Canis lupus familiaris: one gene and its partners. The protein of the gene in region 5 purifies or fractionates together with the protein of the main gene of each other region. This does not show direct contact. Links are inferred from orthologs where the notes say so. Each region holds a gene or a part of one and is shown on either strand. Other genes may lie near its edges. The genes, in order: POLR1D, UXT, POLR2H, POLR3C, POLR3B, POLR3K and CRCP.

Evidence for each region.
Region 1: the proteins of POLR3B (region 5) and POLR1D purify together in Homo sapiens (affinity purification with mass spectrometry; 6 studies listed by BioGRID and IntAct, with this or other methods). This does not show direct contact. The link is inferred for Canis lupus familiaris from reciprocal best matches to the Homo sapiens genes POLR3B and POLR1D.
Region 2: the proteins of POLR3B (region 5) and UXT purify together in Homo sapiens (affinity purification with mass spectrometry; 3 studies listed by BioGRID and IntAct, counting the BioPlex papers as one, with this or other methods). This does not show direct contact. The link is inferred for Canis lupus familiaris from reciprocal best matches to the Homo sapiens genes POLR3B and UXT.
Region 3: the proteins of POLR3B (region 5) and POLR2H purify together in Homo sapiens (affinity purification with mass spectrometry; 5 studies listed by BioGRID and IntAct, with this or other methods). This does not show direct contact. The link is inferred for Canis lupus familiaris from reciprocal best matches to the Homo sapiens genes POLR3B and POLR2H.
Region 4: the proteins of POLR3B (region 5) and POLR3C fractionate together in Homo sapiens (co-fractionation; 4 studies listed by BioGRID and IntAct, with this or other methods). This does not show direct contact. The link is inferred for Canis lupus familiaris from reciprocal best matches to the Homo sapiens genes POLR3B and POLR3C.
Region 6: the proteins of POLR3B (region 5) and POLR3K purify together in Homo sapiens (affinity purification with mass spectrometry; 6 studies listed by BioGRID and IntAct, with this or other methods). This does not show direct contact. The link is inferred for Canis lupus familiaris from reciprocal best matches to the Homo sapiens genes POLR3B and POLR3K.
Region 7: the proteins of POLR3B (region 5) and CRCP purify together in Homo sapiens (affinity purification with mass spectrometry; 5 studies listed by BioGRID and IntAct, with this or other methods). This does not show direct contact. The link is inferred for Canis lupus familiaris from reciprocal best matches to the Homo sapiens genes POLR3B and CRCP.

What each region holds. Positions count from the first base shown.
Region 1 is NC_049246.1:12,034,844-12,039,016, forward strand, and holds part of POLR1D (protein POLR1D), read right to left. Parts: intron 2,548-4,173; coding exon 2,377-2,547; intron 1-2,376.
Region 2 is NC_049260.1:41,473,506-41,477,196, forward strand, and holds the end of UXT (protein UXT), read right to left. Parts: intron 1,102-3,691; coding exon 1,038-1,101; intron 832-1,037; coding exon 778-831; 3' UTR 733-777; downstream 1-732. UniProt on the Homo sapiens protein: Involved in gene transcription regulation. Acts in concert with the corepressor URI1 to regulate androgen receptor AR-mediated transcription. Together with URI1, associates with chromatin to the NKX3-1 promoter region.
Region 3 is NC_049255.1:17,408,471-17,413,260, reverse strand, and holds the start of POLR2H (DNA-directed RNA polymerases I, II, and III subunit RPABC3), read right to left. Parts: upstream 3,252-4,790; 5' UTR 3,090-3,251; coding exon 3,017-3,089; intron 1,651-3,016; coding exon 1,567-1,650; intron 1,484-1,566; coding exon 1,390-1,483; intron 328-1,389; coding exon 244-327; intron 1-243. UniProt on the Homo sapiens protein: DNA-dependent RNA polymerase catalyzes the transcription of DNA into RNA using the four ribonucleoside triphosphates as substrates.
Region 4 is NC_049238.1:59,297,701-59,301,873, reverse strand, and holds part of POLR3C (DNA-directed RNA polymerase III subunit RPC3), read right to left. Parts: intron 2,783-4,173; coding exon 2,702-2,782; intron 2,419-2,701; coding exon 2,367-2,418; intron 2,112-2,366; coding exon 2,051-2,111; intron 1,623-2,050; coding exon 1,472-1,622; intron 263-1,471; coding exon 161-262; intron 36-160; coding exon 1-35. UniProt on the Homo sapiens protein: DNA-dependent RNA polymerase catalyzes the transcription of DNA into RNA using the four ribonucleoside triphosphates as substrates.
Region 5 is NC_049231.1:33,261,701-33,265,873, forward strand, and holds part of POLR3B (DNA-directed RNA polymerase III subunit RPC2), read right to left. Parts: intron 2,096-4,173; coding exon 1,982-2,095; intron 1-1,981. UniProt on the Homo sapiens protein: Catalytic core component of RNA polymerase III (Pol III), a DNA-dependent RNA polymerase which synthesizes small non-coding RNAs using the four ribonucleoside triphosphates as substrates.
Region 6 is NC_049227.1:40,886,296-40,891,071, reverse strand, and holds POLR3K (DNA-directed RNA polymerase III subunit RPC10), read right to left. Parts: upstream 3,360-4,776; 5' UTR 3,311-3,359; coding exon 3,200-3,310; intron 2,454-3,199; coding exon 2,366-2,453; intron 912-2,365; coding exon 784-911; 3' UTR 346-783; downstream 1-345. Other genes in the region: SNRNP25 (U11/U12 small nuclear ribonucleoprotein 25 kDa protein), read left to right, coding at 3,676-3,717, 4,390-4,480, 4,720-4,776. UniProt on the Homo sapiens protein: Core component of RNA polymerase III (Pol III) which synthesizes small non-coding RNAs using the four ribonucleoside triphosphates as substrates. Can mediate Pol I proofreading of the nascent RNA transcript.
Region 7 is NC_049227.1:753,760-756,978, reverse strand, and holds the end of CRCP (DNA-directed RNA polymerase III subunit RPC9), read right to left. Parts: intron 1,218-3,219; coding exon 1,071-1,217; 3' UTR 924-1,070; downstream 1-923. UniProt on the Homo sapiens protein: DNA-dependent RNA polymerase catalyzes the transcription of DNA into RNA using the four ribonucleoside triphosphates as substrates.

The DNA of each region.
Region 1 (4,173 bases), on a different chromosome or scaffold from region 5:
CAAACAGCAGGAGAACATCCATGGAAGCTCCAAGTACGGGGAGAACATAGGTAAGTAAATAATTATTCAGACACAAATTTGGTTCTGAGTAGTTTTTAAACTTGGATTCCTAAACATCTCCTAGGTGTCTTTGTAAAACCAATTTATTATATTAGAATATACAGTTGAGTGCAAACAAGAAGTCCAAGAAAGCCAGCTCACTATGCAGACTGTTTTCTGGGCACAGGAACCCACTAACATCAGTTTTCAAGGATTCACATGTGTAGGATCGTCTCCACCCATTTTTCCATCCTCTCCGGGCTCCCTGAGGCCTGCCTGTTCATTCCATAAGCCAGCTGGTACATGCTGAAGGAATGTTAACGGATGATAATAGCAGCTGAAATAGAACCCAAGTGGGAATGCAAATCTGGTCAAAATCATCTTAAATTCCAGAGTCAAGCAAATTAGTTTGGAGTCATCTGGGTCTTATGTTTCTTTTTACTCACAGAAATCAACCGAGAGCTAACTGGCTCCATCAGTATACAGAAAGGGTAGCATGAAAACCAATGTACCTGAAATCAAACCACAAATTGAGAATTGGCAAATTAAATAATGGAGAACATGAGAAAATGAGATCTTTCAAAGAATCAAATCAGAAAAGCTACACGTCAAATAGTTGTACAAAAAAGACACAGAGGGGAAAAAAGACAGAGTCTGATGAATTAGTACAAGGCAGCTGCTGTGGTGCTAATGTTCCGTTTTGTGATTGAAGTGCTGGTTTCATAGGTACATTCACTTGACTACTTATCAGGCTGCATGCTTAGGATTTGTGCACTTTTCTATATGTATAATTATAGTGAAAGAAAGAAAGAAAGAAAGAAGCAAGAAAGAAAAAGAACACCACAAAGAACGAAACAAAAAAGAAGAAAGAACCTAAATAAAGCCACCCTAAATCCCTACCGAAGCACGCCCTCCCCATCCCCACTCCCTGAAATACCGTCCAGGCCTTCCTTCTTGAAGGAAGGAAGGAAGGAAGGAAGGAAGGAAGGAAGAAGGAAGAAAGGAAGAAGAAAGAAAAGATGGGACACCTGGGTGGCTCAGCGGCTGAGCATCAGCCTTTGGCTCAGGGCATGATCCCGCAGTTTTGGGATCAGTTCCCACATCGGGCTCCCTGTGAGGAGCCTGCTTCTCCCTCTGCCTATGTCTCTGCCTTCTCTCTGTGTCTGTCATGAATAAATAAATAAAATCTTTAAAAAAAATTACTAAAAAAAAGTTACCTTTGACCAACTAAATGTACAGTATCTGTCACATCATGGATGGGAAAAGCGGTTCAAATATGGCAATTAAGTCATGGAAGACAGGCTGAGGGTCTTGTGTTTAAACAAGTATAACTTGGTGACAAGCACTGACTTGGAAATTGGGCACAAAGGAGTGCAATGACAGGCTGCTGCTGACCAGGAGGCCCCTGCCAGACCCAGCGTATCATCATCCATGCTGCAGGCCACCAGTTCATCCCCGAGCCATCCACATACAGCAGGGCACTGGGCAAAATTTTAAAAAAACTCAATGTCTTTCCATGGAGTGATGTTTTGAAGAAAAAAAAATGGAACAATTTACTTGATCTTAAGTAAGGATTTGATGTCAGACCACAGAACATTCTGATTAAAAAAAAAAAAACCAGGGACAGATGACTCAGATCACTGCTGGACATCTGCCTACAGGCTCATAACCACTCAGCAGTAATTAGCAGTGGAGTGACCATGTGGATTGGGAGAAACCATATGACAAAGTATGGGTTCTGTATTATTCAGTAATTTGATCATAGACACAGATGAAGAAATTTAGGCCATCTGTATTTCAGAAAACATCAAATTGTCTGGGTTCGCCTATCAGCTATACAGAAAGGTAAGAAAATTCAAATTGTGGGAAAGGTTTTTAAAGGTAAAACTCAAGAGTGACATTGAGATCATTTGGGATATGAAAATAATTATTTATAGATAAAAGATGAAAGCACAAGAAGTTAATTCTCAAGATGATGTTAAATTTGGCCAATCTCTCTTACATGCTCTGCATGATGATTTATATGGTGAGCAAGGCCTTTCCCTGGAGAGGCTTATAGTAGGCCCTGTATATCAAATAAAGACCTGTATGTATATATTAGAAATAAATATTGAGGGTGCCTGGGTGGCTCAGTCAGTTAAGCGTCTGCCTTAGGCTCAGGTCAGGGGCCCCACTTCTCCCTCTCCCTCTGCCATTCATTCCCCTTGCTTGTGCTCTCTGGCTCCATCTCTCCACTAAAAAAATAAATCTAAAAAAAAAAAGAAGAAGAAGAAAGAAAGAAAAAGAAATATTGGATTACTTAGGGGAACGTAGAGAGGGAGCCTCAATATATCTGACCTAGAGCTCAGTAGACTGGTCCTCTTCACCCTAGTTTTCCCTACGTCTGGCACATGGTAGGTCCTCAGTTGAGATCTGGTCAATGAATGGATTCTGGGTGTGAGTAGGACAGGACAACGATGCACAGATTTACAAGTAAAACTGCTGTATCTGTAGCTGGAGGAGGAGATGCTGGGAGAGATGGAAAACACAAGACAAGGATGGTGAAGACACAACAGTGAGATCGTGTGTCACAGGGCAAAGAAATGCGATGAAATAAGCCAATGGCCCTGGGCAACTTGGGCCATCTTCTGTGGTGGCCAGACAGGAACAGCAGTGCCCTGGCACCGCAGCCCCGGTAGCATCAAGTATCAGGCCATAAAGGGAAAGCCTAGACGCGGACTGAAGACGCCAAGTCAGTGCTAAGAATGAGGGACAGCTGGAATCTGGCCAGTCTGGATGGAGGTCTTTCATCCTCTAGGGCTGCTTGAAAATCTCAGCAAGCTTTCATATCTAGAAAACACTTTTCTCTTTGTGGACTACCAGAGATAAATGACCTTTGTTCGGCTTCTGGTATCATTCTTTTGAGTCATTATGCGAATGAGTAAAGCCCACTTCACTCTGCTCCTTTCACATTCTCTAAACTCCATCTCTTAGTAGAGATGCTAAGTGCACTCTGAAATAAAAGTACTCAGCGTTAGGAGTCTGAGCATACTAATGGAGACTGCGGCGGTGGCTTACTGGCCTATGTCTGCAAGACCTCACCAGACAATATGTGCCCCGTGGGATTACCACATTCTTGGGTCTTAGCTTTTTGCAAGTCCAGGAGCCCAGTTGGGCTAGGTGTCCCCAGCATTCTATCTGCCATTACATGCACGGTGGAGGCCACATTCTCTGTCTAAACTGCTCTGCAGTCCAGCCACATACTTGTCACCAGACATCCAGATCACGTGTTACCTTCTCTGCAGGACTTTCCTGATTTCCTGTTTGCTCCATATTAGTAGATGTTACTACCACTCTTTTCTCTTAGGCCCACCAAAGGACAAATAAAGTCCCACAGACCATATTTCTTAATATTTACAAGTATTAAAATAAGCTAAAAACTATTAAATAAAAAATTCATTCCTCCTACCATGATAAATATACCTTCATTACAATAAAAATAAAAAACATGTGTAAAGCTGTTTTTTAAAATGACTGGAAGTCAGCAAAATACCAGAGGTGACGGTATTAACTTACTGCACACAGTGAGAACTGTTTATGAGTTGGTAATATTGATGAATACAGAAAGATACAGAAAGACAAACATTCATATGTATTTATTCCATAAAATTTATTTTCTTGCCCTGATTTCAGCAAAATCATTATACTTTTAAAATAAAGATTTTTACATAAGTTATGTATTTTTAAAAGAATTTATTTGTTTGAGAGGGAGAGAGAGCATGAGAGGAGGAGCTGAGGAGAGGGGCATAGGGAGAAGTAGAATCCCCGTTGAGTGGGGAGCCTGACATGGGGATCTCTCCTAGGACCCCAAGATCATATCCTAGGGCCCTGAGCTGAAGGCAGATGCTCAACCAACTGAGCCACCCAGGCACCCTCATAAATTGTGTTCTAATAATCTAAAGTATTAAAAAACAATATGTGATTGCATTTAGTATGGATAAAATTTTAATATATTTGCCAAAAGGTTAATTACCTTAAACATAAAAAATTGAAAACCTAAGTTTCAAATGTTTTAAAATTTCCCTATAAAATAATAAAATGATTATTGAATAAGCATTGAACTTCTTGTATGCTCTCTATAAGCCTACATATTTA
Region 2 (3,691 bases), on a different chromosome or scaffold from region 5:
TAGCGGCAGGCTGGGAGGGGGTCGGGCCAGGACTGTGCGTAGGTGGGAGGATAACTCTATCGTGATTGGGTAGAAAAGACGAGTTTAGGACAGAGCAGAGATAGGGTTGGACAGCGGCCAGGCACGCAAAGGAGCGTTGAGTGGCGGAAACTAAAGCCTACGAGGAGGTCAGCGTTGAGCCTCAGCCAGTTATAAGGGGGCGGAACCTGGCTCTGCAATGATTGGCGGAAGCTAGACTCAACCTAAAATAGGGGCCGGCCGGGGTAGGGCGGGATCAGGCTCTGCGCCCATTGGTGGAAGCTGAAATTAGTTAGAAGCCGGGTGAGGCCAAGGTTGGAATGAGACGGGCGTGGGTGTAATCTAAGGTACCCCAGTAATGATTAGGGTGGGGGAGAGGGGCAAACTTTAGGGCCAGGAATGAAAGGCTGATTGTCTTGGGAACAAACCTCCACCCTGAATCAGCCCATTCTCTATGATTAAGACAGTTACGTCCAGGAAGATAAAAGGGTCAGGTGGGAGGCCCAGGTTTCCAAGGCGACAGAAAAGAGGGCAGTGCAGAAAGTCAAGTGGCAAATGCTGCCAGGCAACAGGCTGGAGGCGGGACTTCAGGGGTGCTTTAAAGGTTCCACATAGAGACTGGCTCTCTGGGGTTCCTGGTAACTTTGTGCTTTAGAAACAGGGCACCTTAGCAAACAGCAAAGGGTTGAGGTGGGGAAAGAAGGGCCATGTGACTCAAAGGCATTCAGGCTCTTTAATGTCTACGGAGGCGGGAAGAAGTCAATAGTGAGGTGTCTCCGGGAAATTCTGCAGGCCTTGTAGTTCTCTAAGCCCCTGAAAAAAAGGATAGAAGAGATTGAACAGAGATTGTCTAGGCCTCAGCCCAGGCTTGCTCTGACCTCCCCTCCCTCAGAGCCAGCCTGGTTCCTGCTTAGAGAGGAAAATGGTCCTTCCCATCCCTGGCTCTCTCCCTTCGTCGGGTCACACCACCCTGAATACATTTGGAGACAGAGTCTGGGAATGGGGTGAGGTACTCTCACCTCTAGCAACATGTGGATATGGGCCTTGATATTCATGGAGTCCTTGGTGAGGCTGTCGCTGAGCCTGGAGAAAAGAAACAAGAAAGGGCCGAGTGGGCCACACTTAGGCTCATGAAGATGATTTTTCCTCATCACTTCAAGAACTGCCTATGTCCTGGATGATTTCCACATGGCAGGTGGTAGGACATGTTACTACTTGACCTGCTCCTATGCAGAGATGCCTGGCCACCATCTGGGCTGCACTGATTCAAAGAAATTGATTGAATCCCTACTCTATGCCAGGCAATTTTAGGTACTGGGAGATAACAGCAAACACAACAGACAAAAATCTCAGCCTTATGGAGCTCAAGTTCTCGTTAAGAGGGACAAATTATGGAATAATATATAGAGTATTTCAGAGGGTTATAAGTAAAATGAAAAAGTTAAATGATAAGAGAGGATGAGTGCAGGAGTGGGGGGCTGCAATTCTAATGAGAGCACTTACAAATGGCTGTGCGAGAAGCATTTGCATAAAGAGTTAAAGAAGATGATCATGAGGATAGATGGAAGATGAATGTTCCAGACACAAGGCCCAACACATGGAAAAATGATGAGGTAGGAGTGTACCTGGCATGTTTGAAGCACAGCAAAGTGGCTGGCATGGCTGAAGAATAAGGGAAGGGGAAACTGTAGGAGGTGAGGTCAGAGAGATAAGGTGGGGAGGCAGATCATGTAAAACTCACAAGGCCATGGTGAGGACTCTTGACATTTACTCTACGTGAGATTGGAGCCAAGGGAGGCTTGTGATCAGAAAAGGAATGTGAAATGACAAGGGTTCTTTAAAAAATATTTTGAGAGAGAGAGAGAGAGCACATGTGTGTGCATGAGGAGAGGGAGGGCTCCTGTCCGGCTACAGGGAGAGGGAGAAGCAGACTCCCTACTAAGGGTATAACCCCTGATGTGGGGCTCAATCCCAGGTTGCTGAGATCATGACTTGAGCTGAAATCGGACGCTTAACCGCTTAACTGACCGAGCCACCTAGGTGCCCCACTGACCAGGGTTTAAGAGGATTCATCTGGCTGCTGTGTGGAGGACTGAGGATAAGGAGAGCTAGTGTGGAAGCAGGAAGTCCAGTGGGAAGGCTACTGTAATAGCCCAGGTGAGAGATGGAGACTTAGACTGCAGTGTCAGCAGCTGAGGTGATGATTAGTGACTGCATTTGTAATATATTTTGAAGGTAGAGTCAACAGGATTTACCAAATGGTTGAATGTCAGGTGTGAGAGAGAGGACTTAAGGAAGATGCCAAGGCCTAAGCAACTGGAAAGCTGGAGTTGCCTCAAACCACTCTGGCCCTTGACTGCTGAGTTACATATACTGGTCAATTCCTTATATCTTCTTTTTTTTTTTAAAGATTTTATTTATTTATTTGACAGAAAGAGAGAGAGAGAACACAAGCAGGGGGAGCAGCAAGGAGAGGGAGAAGCAGGCTCCCAGTTGAGCAGAGCCCTTGGAATTGCGGGGCTCAATTCCAGGAACCTGGGATCATGACCTGAGCTGAAGGCAGTCGCTGAACTGAGCCACCCAGGCACCCCAATTCCTTCTATCTTCTAAGCTGATTGGGATCAGACTCAGCCAACAGAATCCTAATTGATACAAAGGGCTAAGGAAGGCCCTTCTGAGGAATGAGAATGAGTAAGAGTTAAACAGTAGGAGGGTCTTTTCCCCAAAAAGGCCACAAGGCAGGAAGGAGCTTTTGGAGGACCAGTCAGGAAGTCAGGGTGTTAGGAATTAAGTGACTGGTGGAAGGAAAGTGGTCCAAGAAAAGGTCCCAGAGGTAGGAAGGGGCTAGTTTACACAGGGTCTTGATACTGTCCTAAGGGAGGCAGACATTGTTGTGCTCAGCTATCTGTTCAAGCAGAAATCAATTTAAGGCAAATTAGATATGGTAAGGAGAGTAGAAGGTAACAACATAGAATGTTAAAATGGAAAAAAATACAGCACTATGAACCCATATCTTGAATACCAAGATATTGGTATCTTCCAGATTTATATTTTCAGTTCAGACCCTTCTCCAGCCTTGGGAGTTTTAACTCCTTCTTCAAAAACTCCACTTCACTGTTTAATAAGCACCTCATACTTAACTGGTCCTAGGTTGAACTCCTGATCCTCCTCTGCAAATCTGCTCCTCCTCTATCTTCTCCCTCTCAGATAATGGCAACTCCATCCTTCCAGTTGTTCAGCCCAAAACTTTCACACCTTACAGCCAATCAAGCATTCTGTTTAAAATTGCAACTGCTCCATCCTAGGCAATGTTTCTTTTCCTATTTAAAAATTTTTTTAAAAGATTTATTTATTTGAGAGAGAGAGGGAGGGCAGTGACAGAAAGGGACAGAGAAACCTCAAGCAGACTCCCCGCTGAGCACAGACCCCCCCCCCCAGCCCAACATGGGGCTTGATCCCAGGACCCTGAGCCTAGATCAAGAGCTGAGCAGAAGAGTTGGCGGCTTGACCAACTGAGCCATCCAGGCACTCCTCCTTTTTTTAATTACTAAAGTATAATTGACATGTAACCTTAGTTTCAGGGGTATAATATAATGATCAGATATTTGGATACACTGTCAAACGATCACCACAGTAAAACTAATTACCATTTGTCATCATACAAAGTCATAAA
Region 3 (4,790 bases), on a different chromosome or scaffold from region 5:
CAGTTTCTCATTTGGACCCCTGAGCCCTGAGGTCCTGACAAAGGGCCAAGCGAGCAGCCTACATTTCGGATTGGAAACTGTTCCAGAACAGACAGTTTCCTTCTAAGTCCTACCTAGGTCTGAGGTGCTTGGGGAGAGACCCAACCCAGGAAACATGAAGCATGGCCCAAATTTTCAGAGCAGAGCTCAGATTATCTGAATAGGGCTGGGGGACAAGGGTTCTCACAAGACTATGGAACTTACAGACGCGTTGCTGCTTCAGTAGAAGTTTCGTCGCCCTCAATTCTGTATACTTTCCCATACATTACATACTCAAACTGGTCAGCCCTGTGGAACAGTAGGAGCAAGGTTATTCTTCAAAGTAGTAAACAAAAGTAAGAAGCTCTTTAAAAATGGTTAACTGGAAAAAAAAAATGGTTAACTGGTAACTAAGTGTCACCATTCTAACAGACGTTTTCCAAACACAATGCCATTTAGTCCTCCCAGCAACCATATGAGCAAGGTGTGATCATCTGCACTTTACTGATGGGGAAACTGAGGCTGCAAGAGGTTAAAGCCATTCAACAAAGAACTGATAGGGCTGAGATTTGAACTCAGTAGAGCTCCAAAGCCCTTCCATCACACCAAACTCTCTCCCAAGACGCAAGGCTCACATAGCCTGGGTCACTTGATGGTCATCTCCTTAGCCATCGATAAGGTACAACCCACAAGCATGTAATTGCTGCCCTGGAAAAACACCTGGTTGTTAGAATTTTTTTTTTTTAAGATTTTATTTATTTATTCATGAGAGAGAGAGGCAGAGACACAGGCAGAGGGAGAAGCAGGCCCCATGCAGGGAGCCCAACCCAGGACTCGATCCCAGGTCCCCAGGACCAAGCCCTGGGCTGAAGGCAGCGCTAAACCACTGAGCCATGAGTCATCCAGGCTACCTGGTTGTTTGAATTCTTTTTTTTTTTTTTTAAGATTTTATTTATTTATTTATTTATTTATTTATTTATTTATTTATTTATGAGAGACACAGAGAGAGAGAGAAAGAGAGAGAGAAAAAGAGGCAGAGACACAGGCAGAGGGAGAAGCGGAGGGAGAAGCAGGCTCCATGCAGGGAGCCCGACACGGGACTCAATCCCGGGACTCCAGGATCATGCCCTGGGCCGAAGGGACTCCAGGATCATGCCCTGGGCCGAAGGCAGGCGCTTAAACCGCTGAGCCACCTGGGGATCCCCATTGAATTCTTAAGTGCAGCAATTTCCTTAAGGTTGCTCAGATACTACTGATAATCATTTATTCCACAAATTAAATAAGGGTTTTTTCCTATACCACTTATCTACTTAGTCCTCAAGCGTATTTCAAGTACTCCTTTCCTGAGAGGGAAGTACTTCACTTCCTCACCTGGAAGGCCTATCATCTGTGGGGTTGTATTCACCGTCATCCAGGGTACCATCTTCATATAATGTACTGGCTATGACCAACCGGAACTTGTCACCTGAAAATCATGGCAATACCAGAGGCTAAAGAACAGCTGAAATGTCAAAAAGCCTTCTGCTATTGTCTGTGTTCAATACTTACCCAAGTCTACAGGGTAAATCTGAATGTTTACATCTAAGATCAGGTCCATTTTGAAAGATTCACTCTCACAATGTAGCCGAGACACTGGAGGGAGGTAGAGAAAGAGTGGCATAGGTAATTGCCAGGCTCTGCAGACCCTGCAGACCCCACTTTGGGGGATTACATGCAATTGAGCACTCATTCGAACCCCATCTGCATCCACTAGCCTCACGTCTGCTCTCAAAGAAGTGCAGACTCAATGAGAACCAGATATGCCAGAAGGAAAGGAGTGAAAACTATGGCAAGTGGACAGAATCCCAGAAAACAACCAAAGGTCCCTCTGGCAATAAATAATATCCAGGTTCTAGGCCTGCCTAGGTGATTAACAAACAACCTGACTTTAGACAAGTTATTCATTCATCCAAAGGTTTTGTCTTTTTTTTTTTTTTATAAAGATTTTATTTATTTATTCATGAGAGACACAGAGAGAGAGACAGAGACAAAGGCAGAGGGAGAAGCAGGCTCCCTGCAGGGAGCCCGACTCGGGACTCCAGGATCACGCCCTGGGCCAAAGGCAGGTGCTCAACCGCTGAGCCACCCAGGGATCCCCCCAAAGGTTTTGTCTCAGGGCGCCTGGGTGGCCCAGTTGTTTATCTGCCTTCAGTCCAGGTCGTGATCCGGGGTCCTGGGATGGAGCCCCGCATCCGGCTCCTTGTTCAAGCAGGGAGTCTGCTTGTCTCTCTTTCTCTCCCTGCCCCTCCTCCTCACTCATACGCTCTCACTCTGCTTTCTCTATCAAATAAATAAATCTTAAAAAAAAAAAAAAAAAAGTTTTGTCTTTCTGTGCCAGCTGCTGTGCTGAGTGGACTATCAGGACTGTTAAGACCTGGTGTTTGTCTTGAAGAACATCTCAGTCTCTGGACAAAAGAAGAGACCCCCAAGGAGGCCCAGTCTGATCAACGGCAGAATAAAGAGCTGTATGGCAAGCAGCAATCCTAATTCAGAGCGGATGTCACAAAGGGCTAGAGATTCTCAGGACAATACAAGAATACAGGCTCTGAAGTCGGACTAGTCACTGTGCAGCCTTGGGTAGCTTACTTAACTTCTCGGGGCAAAATGGGTAAGACACCAACTACTTCATGGAGGCTCCTGAGAGAACTGGGCAGGACGAAGTGTGTGTAAGGTGCACGCTACAGCGCCCAGCAGAGTGGGGAGCGACTGGAAGATGCACGGGGGTGCACCAGCACCATGAGAACGGGCCACCCAGGCACCGGGCCAGCCTGTGTGGAGCCAGGCGGAGTTCGGGAGACGCCGAGTTCCCATCGATCCAAGGTCTCCTGATGGGGATTCCTGAGTCAGGAACTGCCGGCAGGGGCGGGCCACGCGGCGTGGGTGGACCAGGGGCCCACAGGCGTGTCCCCGAGGAGGTTACCCCCTGACTCGGCCGCCCCTACGTCTACCTCCACCTTACCTCGGTCAAACTTCTTGCCCTCCGGGTCAATGTCTTTCACATCGAAAATATCCTCAAACAGGATGCCCGCCATGGTGAGGTGGCCACGAGAGTACGAGAGGGGCCGGGAGCGCGACCACGCCTAGGGGTACGCGCTCCCCCTCGCGTGGAGTAAAGGAGAGAAGGAGAGCGCGCGCCCAGAGAGCGGCCGCAGAGCCCTAGAAACACGCATGCGCGCGGGCAGGCAGCGCCGCCGCCACTTCCGCCGCCTGGGCCTCGGGGCTCGCGGACTTCCGCCCCGAACGACGCCTTCCGAGAGGCCTCGGGAGTGGGGGGCGGGACTCGGGGCCGGGTGGCTCCGCCCCGGGGCGGGGACCCGGTTAGTTCCACCTCCAGCCGAGGCGGCGCGGCGTCTCGCTGTACGCGGAGGCTCGGCTGCGCCCTCTTGAGAGGCCGGGTCGGGACGCCTGGAATGCGGGCGGGCCTACCCCAGCCCGGGACCTTGATCCTTGGCCCGGAGAAGCCCGGCGCAAACCTTCCCCTGCTGGTCTGCGTGCCCGCCGAGGGCACAGTCCACGCGGAGGGCGGACGGGGCGGAACTCCGCCCCCAGCGCGCTGACCCTGCGGGGCGCAGAGCCCAGTCCCCACAGCTGGCACCGAGGCTTCCTAGCCGGGCCCGGGCTGGACCGGGCTGGACCGGGCTGGACCGGCTTGGCCCTGCTGGATGTCACCCGAGCCGGCTCCGTCCCGTTTGGGAATTTGCCATGATGTCACTATGGGGAAGAGGAAAGCCTGCGCTCGTCCCTTCCCCTGGTACAGCACCCCCCTACCACTGCCCTCTTCCCCGGGGCCCCACTCTCTTCCACTCCGCCTCTTCAGCCCGGCTGACGGCTGGCGTTTAACCCCATCACACAGCGCTGCCCCTGCAGCTTGGTACTACCTGCCCCCCCCCCCCCGCCTTCTCCCTTGGACGCTGATCTACGTGCCCCTTCAGGCTGGCACCGTCCGCTCCCACGGATACGAGCCCCCCCTCCTCTTGGGTGCCGCTCCTCTCACACTGCCCCTTCCTGGGCACCGCCTCTGCCTCCCGCGGGCCCCTCCATCCTGGTACTGCGTCCTCCCGCACACTGCCCGTGTCCTGGGCACCCGCCTCTCCCCTAACACGCTCTCTCCTACATTGTCCATCCACCCTGTGCTCACCCCACCCTCTGCTCCATCCTTCTCCAGACCCTGAGAGAGAACACAGATCCCCAGGTGGCGGCGAGACGTCAGCAGCTACTCGAGTTTCTCCTTGGGCCCCGCCAGGGAAAAACGACCTCTGTACCCCCACGCCCGCCTTCCAGGAGCCTCCTCGCCAGCACCTAGACATCTCTCCCCTCGGGCCTCACCCCTTCACCTTTCCTCCCTGTCTCCACCCCGTACACCCCGCAGGCCAGGTTGCTCCAGGTGTGACTTCCTAGAAGAGGAACCCTGGAGAAGAGGAGGAGGGAAGAGGATGAGAGACACGGGAGGGTCTCAGTTCCGAGCATCACGTCCTCACCCCCGCCTTCTGGGCCTAGCGTCCCCCTCCGAGTCCCTCCAGCTTTGCTTCTCACCCTCGACGGAGCAGAGAGGGGCCTTGCGAGGCCCGTCTGAGCCGCTGCCCGCCCCCCCACCCCCACCCCCAGAAGCAAGAGAAGGCGTCACTCCTGAGAGATTGAGCCCAAAGGGTGTGATTTAGACGGCTTTGCCGCCCCGGGCCCCAGGCCCTCCCGAGCCCCAGCCCCTCCCGCCCCTCCCGCCCAGGCACTGGGCG
Region 4 (4,173 bases), on a different chromosome or scaffold from region 5:
TCAAATTGTCTCCTTTCTATCAAGTTGGCTATGCTCTGAGGGAAGAGAAGACAAGAAATGCACATGGTTCTATTTAAGTAGCTCTTGTACCGGCTAACTGGGGCATTAGAGTTAGACTCTTCTGTGTGGAGGAAATGGGGAGAAGGTCCAAAGAAATTACCTTGTAGCACCTGTGCAGCAACATTCGGGCAGCTGATAGGATGTTCACAGTATATAAATAGAAGGTCCTGGATGGGGCATGGTCTGGGGTTTTGGGAATTTCCTATTTGTCCACAGAAAGAAAAAGAGAAATCACACTGTTCTTCAAAAAATGGCAAGGTAAACACTTGTTCCATCCAGAGCAACTCAACCTTTCCTCTTCCCCAGTCATTCAGCATCTGTGTTTATAGCAAAATCAGCCACATGCAGAGCTTTTTCTACTTGACTGTCAGCATCCTCAGTGGGGAGGAAGGAGAAGGCAATTAACATTTACTGAGCAACCTTTTTTTTTTTTTTTAAGATTTTATTTGTTTATTCATGAGAAACACACACACACACACACACACACACACACACATACACACACACACACAGAGAGAGAGAGAGAGAGAGAGAGAGAGAGAGAGAGAGGCAGAGACACAGGCAGGGGGAGAAGCAGGCTCCATGCTTTGAAGCCCGACATGGGACTCAATCCTGGGTCTCCAGGATCATGCCCTGGGCCGAAGGAAGCGCTAAACCGCTGAGCCACCCAGGCTGCTCTTACTGAGCAACTCTTATGTGCCATGTAGATTGTATTTGATCTTTAGGACAAACTATTATTTTTATTACCACCACCCATCACCATTGTATTGATAAGAAAAAATGACGGTAGATAATTTGCTCAGTGTAACTGGGTCAGCAGCAGAACTGTGATTCTGTCTCCCAAATCCATTCTGTCTATTTCCTCATAGGGCATACTACCTGGCTTTGCGGACCCAATAGATGATGTTGGCAGATTTAATCTATATAATAGATTTAACACCTGGGGAAAGGACAAATCACAAGGAGTAGGAGCTAAGGAAAAAGGGAATTCTGGGGTGATTTCTTGAGGTGCCTCTATTTAACTAAGGCCACTTAAAGCTTCCCTATTCTAGGGGGATCCCTGGGTGGCGCAGCGGTTTGGCGCCTGCCTTTGGCCCAGGGCGCGATCCTGGAGACCTGGGATCGAATCCCACATCGGGCTTCCGGTGCATGGAGCCTGCTTCTCCCCCTCTGCCTATGTCTCTGCCTCTCTCTCTCTCTCTCTCTGTGACTATCATAAATAAATAAAAATTAAAAAAAAAAAAAAAAAGGCTTCCCTATTCTCTTCAAGTGCTTGCTAGGTCTCTGTTAATCTTTTTTTCTGTCTTAGAGCTGAAGTGAGAGTTTGTTTGAGGTTCAGGAGGTTTGCCTCAGAAGTTTCTTTCACCCTTGACCAGCTCCACTGGTTGGTGATTGTTATGCTACTGGTTACCTGGAGTGATATGAAATTTCCTGAGAGCATCTTATAAAGCATATCCTTTGCCTCCTTTGCTGGAATCATTGCAAAGTCTTCTACCTGCTTCTGCTCCAGGTGTTTCTTTTGCAAAACTAGACGGAATATTCTGGCACAACGAGACCCAAACCTGGAAAGGAATAAAGAAAGCAAATGGCATGACATAGATTAGTTTTAGCTCCTAGTCACAGATGGCAGTTGCTCTGTTTCCATGTATGGAGCCAGGACCAGAGAGAAGAACAGTGGTCAGAGATTTCTTTCACAACTCCACAGATTAATGATGGTACTGCTAATCATAAAAGAGTCACCAACTGCTGACTCATTTGAGTACCCGAGTTCCTGCATTTATAAGTAAAGGCTTTAGGAAGGCTGGTTAATTGGCACCATTGGGAGTTAAGTAGTAGAGCAGTAGTGGATGGGATCTGTAGCAGTCCAGTGGAAAAACGGGCAAGATGCACCAAGATGTATCTACATGGGGTGCTTACATAATGATTAAATTGCTTATCCAAATGAAGTGTGGAAAAATGGCCCCAACCCTGAGCAGGGTGACACTCTTACCTCTCCTGCACGACAGACTCCAGAGTGGCTGTGGCTAGGGATCCTAGAGCTTTATGCAGGTCTTCATGTAGAGGGTTATGGTCAGTAATGTTTTGGTTTGGTCACTGTGATCTTAGTTTTATTCCTAAAACAGGGTTTTGCTTAACTAAAATTCGGTTAATTCAAAGTCCTTTTTACTTCTTTATCATCAATGTATGAGTTCAATTTTCTGACTTACTTAGTATACTAAATATTATCCAATCTTTTATTTCATAAGTCACCATTCTTCTTCTTAGTTCAGGCTGCCTGACTATAAGGAAATAACTGGTAAGGATACTGATGACATACATTCCTCCACCACTGTCGCCAGACTTTCCAACAAACTCTAGCTATTGGAAAAAACACAGAGAGAGAGAAAGAGAGAGAGTTAACTGGATGGCAAGTCCAGTGATTCTGTTTCCAAAGGAGCAAATATGGCCAAAAGTCTGTAGCAGATAGCCTTCCTATCAGCTGATGGTAGAGAAACTGTCTGAGCTGGGCTAGGTAGAAAATGAGGCTACAGAAGGATACCAGGTTTCAGTGGCAGAAATAAATTGTAAACACAGCAGGAAAAAAAGGAATACAAAACAAAACAAAAAAAACAAAACCCCAAAAAGGAAGCAAAACACTTACTGGATCATCTGCCAGTAGAGTGAGATACTGATCAAGAACTTGTTTAGAGATGTTATAGCCAACAGGCAGAGATCTGAAGATCTATGGAGCAAAAAGAGAAGGTAAAAATGGGCTTGGGAACTTAGAATTGCTGACTTTGTTGAAATATAGATGTTTAATACATAAATACATAGTAGCATTGTTTGTAAGAGTAAAAAAACTAGAAACAATCCAAATGTACAATAATAAGGAATTGATTAAAATAAAGTACAACATGGCTACTAAGTGGAACATGATGCTGTCATAAAAAATAAGATCTATATATGCTGACATGAAAAAGGTGGCTTAGATACACTGTTGTATGAAAAAGGCAATTTTAGGGGTGCCTGGGTGGCTCAGTGGTTGAGCATCTGCCTTCAGCTCAGGTCATGATCCCAGGGTTCTGAGAGCAAGTCCTGCACTGGGCTCCCAGTGGGAAGCCCATGGGAAGCCCTCTCTCATGAATAAATAAATAAAATCTCTCTCTTAAAAAACAAAAAAAAAACACACACACACACACACACAAAAACAACTTTAGAACAGTATGTAGAATTCTTTTTTTTTTTTTTGCTGAAAAAAATACATATATCTATTTAAATGTGAGACTATACATAAAAAAAAGGTCTGAATAAAGTTAGGTATCAAACTATTAACAAGAATCCCTGTGGCTGGGATCACATGAAACTATATACATATTTATTTATTAAACTTTTTTTTTTAAGATTTTATTTATTTATTCATGAGAGACACAGAGAGATAGAGAGGCAGAGACACAGGCAGAGGGAGAAGCAGGCTCCATGTAGGGAGCCCGATGTGGGACTCGATCCCGGGACTCCAGGATCACTCCCTGAGCAGAAGGCAGATGCTTAACTGCTGAGCCACCCAGGTGTCCTAACTATATATATATATATTTAAACTGAGGTATGTTACATATAATAACAAGCCCAGATTTTAGAGGTTCAGTTTGATGAGTGTTGACAATTATGTATATCCCTGTAACTACCACCCACAATAAGATATAGAACTTGAACGCCATTTCTAAAAATATAGGGGGCTACAACTTGAAAAAATTATACATTTCTATTGTTTGAATAGAAGTCACATAATTACTGTATTGAAAGAAAAAAAACCTGAAATTTTTGTTATAAGTTTAAAATTTTAAAAATAATATGAACTGAAAATATAACTATAATATGGATAAATATAATTATGAAATAGAATATAAATAAAATGTATTTGGTACATTAAATATTTATATTTTAAGAAACAGATATACTAAAAACAAATTTAAGATACATAAAACTAGTATACTGAACAAAAGCAATACAAGAAGCCAAATGATGTTCTGAGTACCAACAAAGGTTCTCAGATTCCAGATAGTGGATTCTTAGAACAACTGGGAATAGCTGTACTTTGGCTAGGAGAATGGTTTAGGTTTTTTAAGGATGGATCCC
Region 5 (4,173 bases):
TAGGCACGCAGTGAGAGAGAGAGGCAGAGACACAGGCAGAGGGAGAAGCAGGCTCCATGCACCGGGAGCCCGACGTGGGACTCGATCCCGGGTCTCCAGGATCGCGCCCTGGGCCAAAGGCAGGCGCCAAACCGCTGCGCCACCCAGGGTTCCCTCAAGCTTGCTTTAGATTTAAAAAGGTAAACAGGGCGTATGCCAACCCATGCTGAAATTTTACCTTTTGTTGTTGCCAAAGTTATATTGGGAGCTCAATTTAAGTTGTAGATTATTCTTTCAAAGACAATCTACGTGTGAAAAACTTACAAATGATCAAAATGAACACACTGTAGTGGAAACTTCATCACTGAGCACAAGGGCTGTCTTTATCTGCTGACAGAATACCTGGGATAGGAGAGGAGTCCCTCCATCTGTGGCCATTGGACAAGTGAAGGTGGCTAGATCACATGTGGGCAGAAACCAAAACTTGGATTAAATCAATCAAAAAAGTGGGCGGACAAATGCACCCCTGGTAGTCTTCCCACAGAATGCACAGAAGTAATAACTCTGTACACAACAAAGTACAAAATAGAAAATAACTGTTTGACACTCATTCCTCTGGAATAGTTTTTGGATGTTCTAACTGAAACGGAAGCTCCAGAGGGACAGCGCTCAAGGGACAGGAACACCTAAACCAAGTTGGGTCTCACTGCTGGGTCACTAGGGTCTTGAGAATCTTGACTTCACTTCCCTCTTCTGCAATTTGGACCACACACAGCATTTCAACAGGTATGTGCATTTACTCAGTTTTAAATGGTCATGGAACTGAGTCATCCATACCTCTCCCTTGGTTTAAAAAAGTAAAGTCAGACACTGACTGCTTCGCCCTGAATCCCTTGCCCTATATGGAACATCGAGCCATGATGAGTGCAAGCAGGCAGGGACCTGGGCAGTTATGGAGCATCCCCCATGGATTGGCACCATATACATTCCGTATCTGAACATCTGACTGTTCCCCACACGCTGTGAAGTGGGCATTACTGTCACCTCTTGACGTATGAGAAAAACTGAAGCTGTGAGAAGCTAAGTGATCTGTCCAAGACTTGTGGTAAAGTTACGAGGCAGAGGTGAGTTCACATCCATGTCTATCTGGCCTCAAGGCCTATGCTCCCTCTCCTGGGAGCAGTTCCTCAGCCTTGGCACGAACCTCATACTGAGCTGGGTCATTTCCTGTGGTGCAGGCTGCCCTGGGCACTGTAGGATCTTCAGCAGCTTTCCTGGCCTCCACCTACCAGGTGCCAGTAGCTCCCTCCCCACACCTCTAGCTGTGACATCCCAAGATGTCAAATGTCCCCTGGGAGGCCAAAGTGCTTGTGGTGGAGAACCAATGCCCTGAAATATGCTTTTCTAGCCAGAAAATGTAGTACCCAGAACACACGAAACTTAGCATTTGTGATTCCCTTCCCAACATTTATACCCAACCATTCATTAACATACAACACTGTGCTTAGAGTGGAGAATACACTGGTGAATGGGGCACACTGGACCCCAGTGCAGGATCTTCTGCTCCAGTAACAGAAGTTTTAATAAATGACAGCTGTGGCTTGGGCTCCCAAACACTGTATGTTTGTGTTTTCTGTGTATACGAGGGAGCATGCAGGTGTATCCATGTGTGTAATGCGGTGGGTCTGTAAGTGTGTCCACATTCTCATATATGAACCTCTTTGAATAAGATGGTCTATGCAGACAGGTACAGTCAAGGACTATATTCAGCGACTACTGACAGGACCAGTGAGGGGTTTGCTCTCAAGCCTCTGGAATGATTCTGAATCAGCCGCTATTGTTTCATGCTAAGCAGACACACAGCATTCCTGTTGATGTCTAACACTCCAAATTTTGACATTTCTAGGAAACCAAAACTTCGCTGAGTCTGCTTATTGCTGCATCTAGGAAATGCAAGATAGACTTGGCTGCATTATAAATTCTGTAACTGCCCTTCTCTTACCTGGTGAGAACAGCTCGTGGCCCCCGGGCTCGGGCATGCATCTTATCCAACACCATGTGCTTCAGTTTCTGATAGTACACCGGGCCAAAATAGATGTATGCTTCTAAGGGCTCGCTGAAAGAAATGTCAGAGTTTTGGGCTAAGAAATCAGGTTTGGGTTAAGAAGAGGTAGCCTTTTCCAGGACCCCTTACTGGCAGGGCCTGGTTTGTTCCAGAACGGGTTCATGAGTGACTGGGAGGGTGATTTTCAGTCTGCATGGAATGAGAAGGCTATATCTGAAAATAGAAACACACCATAGATATATCAGAAGACCTACTGTTTCATTAATAAATGAAAACTCAAAAGGTTGTGAATAAGTACGTACAGGATGGTCCTTCCTTCACCCCTACCCCCCACCCAGGTCCGGCCACCAGGCTTTCTTGCCTGGACCCCCACAGACAGCCCTCTGGCTGCTCTCCCTGCCTCCGTTCCTGTCCCTCAACAATCTGTTTTTCACAAAACAAACCAGAGTGACTCCTAAAATGTAAATCACAGCAAGTTATTCTTCTGCTCTAAATTCCATATGGTTTCCTACCACTCAGAATCCGTATCATCCAAATTTTCTATCACACCATAAGGTTTAATATAATCTGCTTCTTGCCCCTCTCAGACTCACATCCTATTCCCTTTCCCCATTGTTCATTCTGCTCCAGTAATACCAGCCTCTTCATTGCTCTTCAAACATAGCAAGCCTGTCTGCCTCAGGGCCTTTGCACTTACTATTTGTAAAACATTCTTCTACCAGGTATTCACATGGCTGTGAAACATTTCACCCCCAGAGACTTCCTGTTCCCTTATCACCTTATGTAAAGGAGTGCTCCTCCCACCCCACCATCAGTGTGCCCCCACATTGTCTCAACTCTTACCTTGGTTTTACCTTCAGAGCACTTGTCACCACTTGATATTATAACATACATTTATTATTTCCCCGATTATTATAGGTCTTCCCCATCACAGATGAGGAACGCCTCAGGATCAGCACTTTGTCTCCTTGGTCACTACGGCTCTAGCAGCAGTGACCCTGCCTGGCACAGAATTGGTGCTCAGTAAATGTCTGTTAGAACGCAGCTGACTCAATGAATCCTTAGAAAAACTGTAATAAGGGTTATAAAAGACGGTGACTATTTCAGTGCTCTGACAGAAGAAACCTTTCTCCTTTAGTCTGGAGCAACAGCAGGGGTGGGGGGGAGGTTGGTGCCTCTAAGAAAGTTTAACTGCCCCACAACCTCCTCAAAAGAAGGGGAGAAGTTACCATGTGCCACCTGCTCCATATAGCATCAGGGGAGGGAGCCACTGTCCTTCCTATCTTGAGGATGAAGGCACAGGCACAGAGAGTCTGAGGGGTTAATGAGAGCTGGTGAGCAGGGCAGCATGTCTAGGGCTCTCCCAGCCGCGCTGGCCCAGCTCAAACACTGTATGTGCACGTGTGGGCCATGGCACCAAGAAGGAGCGGAAACAGCAAAGGCCACGAGCACCATGCGGAGGCCCCTGCGCCCCTGCCTTACCTCCTAGCACCCTCAGCACCACCAGCACCAGTATCTTGGCCTCCAAGCCGCTGTGCCAGTAAGGGATGGCCAAATTCATGGGGACACAGAAGGGACTGCAGGGCACAAAAGACGGAGTGTCGGGAGACATGACCCCTGTCCCAGCTCTGTCATGCAGTCCTTATGTGACCTCCTTATCCCAAGTTTCCTAGTTGTACAAGGGGGTCAGAGCAAGGTCCTTTCCATCTCTGATCATCAATGATTCCAGTCCTCCTCGGTGTGGCTGCTCCTGGTAGACTCACCTAATGCCATCCATCACCCACTGAAGAGAGGCGTGTGCAATTTTCCCTTCTAGTTATGCTCAAGAATTTGGCAAGGGGTGAAGCTGGTGGGTGAATGTGTTTGCAAGCCCTTTGGGAAAACTTTCAACTCACAAGCTACACTACTATTTCTCAAACTTTGCCCCTGAGACAACTGGCAGACATGAAATACTAGCTAGGGCACAGAGGAAGGTGGTGTAGACAGAGCCTAAAGTTATCTATGGGAAGCAGAGCATAACCCATCCAAATTTTTCAGTAAAACTACGTTCAGCAGGCCAAACAAATTCATTCATTGTTCTGTACACTTTTTGGTCAACTTCTGCATTATTTCTGGATGAGGAACAAAAC
Region 6 (4,776 bases), on a different chromosome or scaffold from region 5:
TGCCAACCAGAGACCATCGAGCAGTAGAAACGGAATAAAATTTCCTAAGCATCTAGAGGGTTCCCCACCCACAACATCTTCGAGACACCCGGGTCGTGATGTAGAGGAAGAGCCACCTGCGAGATGGCCACGAGTGACAAGCTGTGCTGTGAACCCAGGCACTCCACGCTGAAGGCTGCCAGCCTGCAGGTCTCTGAGGGCCGCCCCCCAGCCCCCACCCCGCCCCAGTCAGACTGCCAAACTCTGCAGTTTACCCTGGGATATTATAGCAAATTATTTGTATGATTAACGAAAATAAAATATACTTCTTGGCAAAAAATTAAAAAAAAATAAACACTAGAAAAGCAGTATTAGACTTTCCATTTTAATTAAATATTCAGAATAGATAGTGATAAGTTTACAATTAAGTTAAATACTTAGATACATCTAATGTCCTACATTATAACATTTTACTTTATTAGTTGTGCAATCAGAGTGCATATTTAAGAAGGATAATGGTGAAAAGATGTCAATTAGCCAATATACCTACAAGATCCACAAACAGGATATTAAAAAGAACACACTTACTTATGTATACCCTTCCCTGCACACACAATCCCCCTGGATATAAATGAGCTCATCCGCTGACTGCCAGATGGGCTGGTACCCTGACCAGCTCCCGTGAAAGGGTTAGCTTTTGGCCACATCAGCAGAGACAGTTCAGGACAAACAGTTCACACTCCTGGCTGTGAATCCACCCTAGGGAACAAGGTAGGCAGACAATGACACAGCTGGATCCTGGCCCTAGTCCCTCCAGCGGTGTCCACACTGAGCATTGCAGCACTTGTAGAAGGTGGTCATCGGCTCGTCTGCAGAGCGAGTCTGAAGCTGCATGAAATAGGCACGAGGATGTTCGCATTTAGGACATGACTCTGGCAACGAGAAAAACAAGTGACCCACATTATGCTCATGACCAAACACACCTGCTAGAAGTAGGTAGGTATTAACACACCAAATCCCTCCCCGACCCCAATCATCTGGCATCCCCTGCCTAGGGCACCTTGCGCCATGACTGAAAGGCTGTAATTAGTGGCATCATTCCCACTACACTCTCACACTGAGGGGACTTGTGACCCTGGAAAACACTCCTGCTCCCCTCCCTGAGTCCCATTTTTCTTCTCAAATCTGGTTGAAGACTAGCTGGAAATGTGACATGAAATGTGGCTTATGGCTACCATGTGCATGATGGGGTCCACTCTGGGCAGATTCTTCCAAGTGCATCTCCATCACCTAAGCCCTCTCAACTTCCTGGAGGAGCCCCCAGGGGATGACAAATCCACTTCCCATTAAATTTAGGGATCCATCTCGGCAGCAGTTCCTCAGGCCGTTCTTATGAAGACCTCACCATACAACCCACACCTTTGCCAAATACCTCAAGGCAAAGTGACTTCAGTTCGGGAAACTGACCCTATGCTTGATAATGCCTTCAAACACTCACAAACAGCACTTTGAACATTAGGTACCAAAATCATCTTCTTTTCTTTCCTGGCAAATTCTGCCAATGCTAATTTTACCATATCAGATTTAGATGTTCTTCTATGGGGGAGAAAAGATAATACTAAACAGGAGTTGGGTCTTCCTCCGCTCAACACAGATGTGTTTAGGGCTCTCTTCTTTCCTTCCCTGGTCACATCTACCTCTATCAGACAGGAAACAAGACTTGAAATAAACATGTGAATGCTCTCTGCCATCAGCTTTTAAAAATCTACACCAGGAAGAAAAATAAATAAATAAATAAATAAATAAATAAACAAACAAACAAACGAATGAATGAATAAATTAATTAATTAAAAATAAAAATCTACACCAGGGATCCCTGGGTGGCTCAGTGGTTGAGCATCTGCCTTCTGCTCAGGGTGTGACCCCGGGGGGTCCCAGGATCGAGTCCCACATCGGGCTCCTGTATGGGGCCTGCTTCTCCCTCTGCCTGTGTCTCTGTCTCTGCGTCTCTCATGAATACATAAATAAAATATTTTTTAGAGATAATTAATTTTAAAAAAGATCCACAACTGAACAAATGGACCATATACTCTTCCTTAGGCTCCGACTTTCATTACTGCCATCGGTTGCTCCCCGCACAGCCGCCACTTGAGGACCACGCTAGAGGCCAAGTGCTGCGGGGCTCCCTTCACGCTCTCACAACGGAGGGAGGCCACCAAGGTCATGCGATGTTAAGAGGCTGTGGCTTTGAGACTAACCCACACCTGTACGTCTCTGGGGTTTATGCCAATATTGCCTGTGTAAGAAATAAATCACTAAAGAAGAAAATACACACGCTATTTTTAGGAGCTTCCTTCCTCAAAGGCAGCGCGGCCTCAGCTCTCACCTGCGGTGGAGTCCACGTTCTCCCAGGCCGCCGCGCCGCCGAGCACATCGTCCACTTCTTTCAGCTTCGGGTACTTCCGGTTGGTGACCTGGCGAAAGGCGGCAGGTGTTCAGGCCGCGGGTAGGGGCGCGGTGCTGACCCGGCCGCCGACTGCCCTCCTCCCCGCGGGCTGCACGATCCTGGGCAGCCGCGTCTCTACACCCGCGGCGCAGGGCTCGGCCCGGGTCCAGGGGCTCCAGCGTCGGGCCGGCCCAAGAGGCGGATGCAGCCGGGACCCCCCACCCCACCCCGTCCACGCTCGGCCCGGGCCCTCCGCGCAGGCCCCCGGCTCCGTCCCGGGCGTCGCGGCGGCGGCCCCAACTCCCGCGGGCAGCTCGGGGCGGGCGGTGCGCCGCGGCTCCGTCCAGGGCCCGGGTTGGGGCCGCAGCACCGACCCCAGGCACGCAAGTCCCGTAGAGGCGTGTCCGCAGGTGACCCGAGTCCGCCAGAGCCACGCTGCTCGGCACGACCCAAACACGGCGAGGCTGCGGGCGGGGCGGGGAGGGCAGCGGGAGCACGTGCAAAGGCCCGGCGGCCGTGTCGGTGCGCGGCGCGGGCTGCTCCCCGGGGGCTGGCGGCGTCGGCCCGGACCCGCAGTCAGCCGCGCCAGCGCACAGGGCGGGCCTGATCCGGCCACGGCTCCGACGAGGCCGCCCGGGCCGCCGCCGGGGACGCCGCCACGGGAGCCGGGTGAGGCCAGGCCGCTCCCGATACGGCGGGGGGCGGGGGCGGGGCCGCTGGAGCACCCCGGCGGGGCGGGCGTCGGCTGCTGGGCGGGGGGCGGCGGGTGATCACCTTGCGCGTGATGTTGTGCACGTAGGGGCAGGTGTTGCAGGCGAAGCGGTGGCAGCGCTGTCCCTCCTCCACGATCAGCCCGTTCCCGCAGCCCGGACAGAAGAGCAGCATGGCTGCCCCGCGCGCTCCCGGCAGCCCCTGCGGCCGCGGGGCGCCGGCGTCGGGCCCGTCGCGAGCTCCCATTGGCCCGGGCCGCCGCCGCCCCAATGGCCGGGCCGGGTTGGCGCTCCCAGCAGCCCCTGCGGCAGGCCGCCTCGAGCCTCCCATCGGTCCCCGTGGCAGCCCCGCCCCTCGCGGCCGGAAGCGGCGGCGGCGCGGTCGGAGCGCGGGGCTGGGCGGGCGCCCTGGAGCCGGCGGAGGCCGAGGCCGAGGCGGAGGCGGCGGCGGCGCGGCCCGAGGCGCCCGAGGCCGAGGAGGATGAAGAGGAGGCGCTGCCGCACTCCGAGGCGGTGGACGTGTTCCAGGAGGGGCTCGCCATGGTGGTGCAGGACCCGCTGCTCTGCGACCTCCCGATCCAGGTGCGCGGCGGGACCTCGGTGCCTGACCTCCCCCTGTGGGCGCCAGAGGTGACGATGCGGCGGGCCTCGATTCTCCCGTGTCCTTTAAGGACCTCACTGACCCGAGCACGAGCGGGGGCAGCAGGGGACAGGGACAGGCGGACGGTCGTCCGGTCCCAAGGCGGACCCCGACGGCGCCCCGGGCGCCCCGGGCGCGGCTGCGCTGCAGGTGCAGGTTCTAAGGTCGTTTCCGTAGTTGAGGCTCAAGTGGGGAGAACGGCTCCACCCCGGGACTCCGCATCGAGATTCGCGCCCCGCCCGAGGACGTTCACTCCTGGGTTGGGCGCCCCGGTCACCCTCGCACACCGGCCTCCCCTCCCCCCCCCGCCCGGTGTCGCCCTGGATCCCGGACTGACCGCGCCTCCTCCTTCCCAGCCCCAGAGCCCAGATCTGGCGCTCACCCTCTCCTGTTTCAGCGCTCCTCTTTTCCTGAGCTTTAATGCACTTTGCACATTAAACACTTTTAAAATGTAGGTGCAACCGGGAAACCCTAGCATAGAAGTAAGAAATCTTGTCTCTCGTCTTTCGTAAGATACGGCACTGCTTTTCCGATGCTATCCGCTTGTCTTGTCTTGTGGTTTGGGATAGCAAAGGCAGCCAAGGCTCCCACCTCCACCATTGGTCTTTCTGCAGGTTACTTTGGAAGAAGTCAATTCCCAGATAGCACTAGAATATGGCCAAGCGATGACAGTCCGCGTGTGCAAGATGGATGGAGAGATAATGCGTAAGTGCTCGCCCTCTCCCTGCGGACCCTGCAGTCCAAGCTGTCACGCAGACAAGACGCTGCCATGGCTGCTCAGGGGAAACTCAAGAGCCATGTACGTCGAAGGGCATCGGGGCAACCACAAGCCTACCCCACCTGAATTTGAGCCTCCGTCCAAAACAGTCTGGACAGAGCTTCTGGTTCCTTTCCTGCCGTCCTAGGCTGTGGCTGTGGATCCTAACATGGCTCTTCTCCCGCAGCTGTGGTTGTGGTGCAGAACGCCACAGTCCTGGACCTGAAGAAGGCCATTCAGAGAT
Region 7 (3,219 bases), on a different chromosome or scaffold from region 5:
GAGAGAGAGAGAGAGAGAGAGAGAGAGAGGCAGAGACACAGGAGGAGGGAGAAGCAGGCTCCATGCAGGGAGCCCGACATGGGACTCAATCCCAGGACTTCAGGATTGCACCCTGGGCCAAAGGCAGGCGTGAAACCACTGAGCCACCCAGGGATCCCCCCTATCCTAATATTTTAAATTGAAAAACTGATGCAACCTTGCAATAGCCAACAAATTCAAATTCTTATTAGTCAACCTCTAGTTCTTCATATTCTGTCCCTATCTGTGCCCTTTCAAAAGATGCAATCTGTCCACTGTGCAAGTGAGGCTCACCTGGCCTCAAGAGGCAGTGTGTACCCAGGGCTCTTGTCGGTGGTGAGTAAGGCAGCCAACGCTGAACTTCTTTGTCACTGTCACTCAGTCAGTCAGCAGTGGTTTTTCAACTAGAATGGGCTGGTGCCCTAACACTGAAGAATAAATAGTGAGCTGGGAAACAATACCCGTGCCAAGAGAGGAAAAGAGCCTTCAGACCTGAGGAAGGCTGGACAGGCCAGTCTTCTCTTATCTTTGATGTGCTGGAGGAAAAGATTCCTCTAAGGTGAGCCAAGTTCAGTGGCTCATTCTAACCTAGAGCAACTTTTTGCTGCTCTGGGAGTTTCAGGCCATCTAACTGGATTCTTCTAACTCAGCTCTCACCCCAACAATGCTCAGTGCCCCTGCTTGGGAAGCTCCTAGGGAAGCAGATGAAACTAATTAGGACATAGCCAATCAAAGGCAACGCAAGCATTTTACCAGCTGTGCACAGGGCCCTGCCCACAACTATGGCAAAGGCCACAGAAGTATTTTTACCACAGAGGGTTGCACATTGTCCTCTTTGACTCTGTCCTCCTCTCTGCCCTGACAGCCTGTCTTCACCAGGTTTTATCTCCCAGAGGCACATGTACTTCTTCTTAGCTTATTTTTGTGTTTTATCTGACCAACCATGAAATCATTGGGATAAAGGGTAAAACCAAATGAAAAATCCTCTGGATGTCTGGGAAATGGCTGCTGGGCTTTTCAGCTTCATGAGGCAGCTGGCTGGCTGTGCTCTTCTATGCTGGGTCCTCTTCATCCACTGTCATGTCATTCATGTTTTTCTTCTGTTCAGCCTCTGGCCCCGCAGGCAGAATGCTCGTGACGGTATGGAGGAGGGCTTCGATTTGCTCCTCTGTGAGCCGTTCTTCACTCTCTTCAACCATCTGCAGAAGAAAACCTCCAAGGGTTACAGATGAGCCAACAGGCGGTGTCCAGGCTGCCCTCCCCACCCATGCTGTTTCTAGTCCACTGGCCTCTGGCACGCTGGCTCCAGAGCCTCCTCAGGTCTCTGTGTTCTCTCCACCCTGGCTCCGAGGGAGGGAGAAGCCAGCTCCAATTCCTATGCAACTGTTCCAAATGGGCCAGGGCAAAAAGCAAGTTGCAGGTTAGCATTTTTCTTCAAAGAAATAGAAAACCTTAATGGTTCTATACCCATCCACATGCACACTTGAATATGCTTTGTATGCAAAGAAAACTCACTTCTGGGGAGTGAAATAGCATTTTATATACTTTTGTAGTTCACAACAAACACAACTGTAACTTATAAACTATATCAACAACCCATCTGACAATTGCCCACTGTGTGCCAAATTTTTTTTTTTCTCATCCCCACTCCCACTGCCACTAACAGCTCTTTAGGGAGCTCACATGTCCGAGTGCACATAGCACTTCCTATCTGTTATTTCTTTTAGCCCTCACAACAATCCTGGCAAAAGACAGAACGAGCACCTCAAGTTGGGCCTGCCCAACACTGACACCTACAATCAAACACACACCATGTGGCCTTGATCACCTCCTAGGAATGTGAAGCAAGAGTGATGGCTGGGAAACAATCCCCTGCTGCCTCACTAAATTAGATCCACTTAAAGCCCAGTTTGATGTGTCCTGGAAATCTACACACTGATAATCCACAATTATGAGCCAGTTTTCTTAGCTGTACCTCTAGTTCTCGAATATATTAATGAATACAAATATAGTCAACAATGTTTTTAAGAGCAATACACAGGCAGTCAAATTACTTACCCATGTTCACTTAGGGGCACCAGCCACCTATCATAAACAGCTAAAGGTGTCCAGGGTTCTGTTCTGTGGTATTTCCCACAGCAACCTCTGAGATCTGGTGACTAGAACCAAGAGGAGTTCCAGAAAGAAATCCCAGCAGATTTAAATAAAACAGGATAACAGGCTAGACTTCAAACCCTGAAGAGGGTTTTGGTCTGACCGCCTCCCTTTACAGAAGCTCATCAAGTCAGGTGATGTGTCTAAGATCACATCACGAACTCCTGGGAAAACATCAGTCTCTTCATTCATCTAGGGTACAAAAATGTTTCTACAACCAGAGAATCATCCTGAGTGTTCTAGGGTGGAGAAGACCCTGAGTGAACCAACGGGGCTACTTCTCATCATGCTGTGAAATAAAACGACCATTTCCTAAAGATTCAAAAGCTCCATAAAGTATAACCTCTACTGAACAAGAAATAATCCTCAAAAACCCATTTTTAAAACCAGACATGCTGGGACGCCTGGGTGGCTCAGTGGTTGAGCATCTGCCTTTGGCCCAGGGCATGATCCTGGAGTCACGGGATTGAGTCCCACATCGGGCTCCCTGCAAGGAACCTGCTTCTCCCTCTGCCTATGTCTCTGCCTCTCTCTCTCTCTAATAAATAAATAAAATCTTAAAAAAATAAATAAATAAAACCAGACATGCAAAATTACAGTGTGTAAAAGGAAGTAATCTAACAGAGACTGTCTCCAAAATATGAAGGAGTTGGAAAGGGGTATATCCAATTTGATTATTTAACCCTAAGAAAAGATGATCTCCATTTGAGAAAGGAATGTCTCCAAATTTATAAATTGCCATGTGCAGTTGATTATGAACTGCTTCCTGACTCAGGGGAAGCAGGAAAGGAGATTTAGACTAGTCTTAGAACACTGACAACTTCCCACCAGTATTTGTGCAGGGGCTTTCCCAGAATCACTGCCACCAGAGCTTCTCAAGCATGTGGAAGTCAGGACAATTTATAGATGAGTAAGTGTAGGCTCAGCATTGTAAAGAAAACCTGATCTGGGTCTTACAGCAAGTAGGGAAAGGTCTTTGCCTTTGGATTCCAGCTCTTTCTAGAACACCATGCCTCTATCCTTTCCTCTCTCAGAGAGGCAGACTAG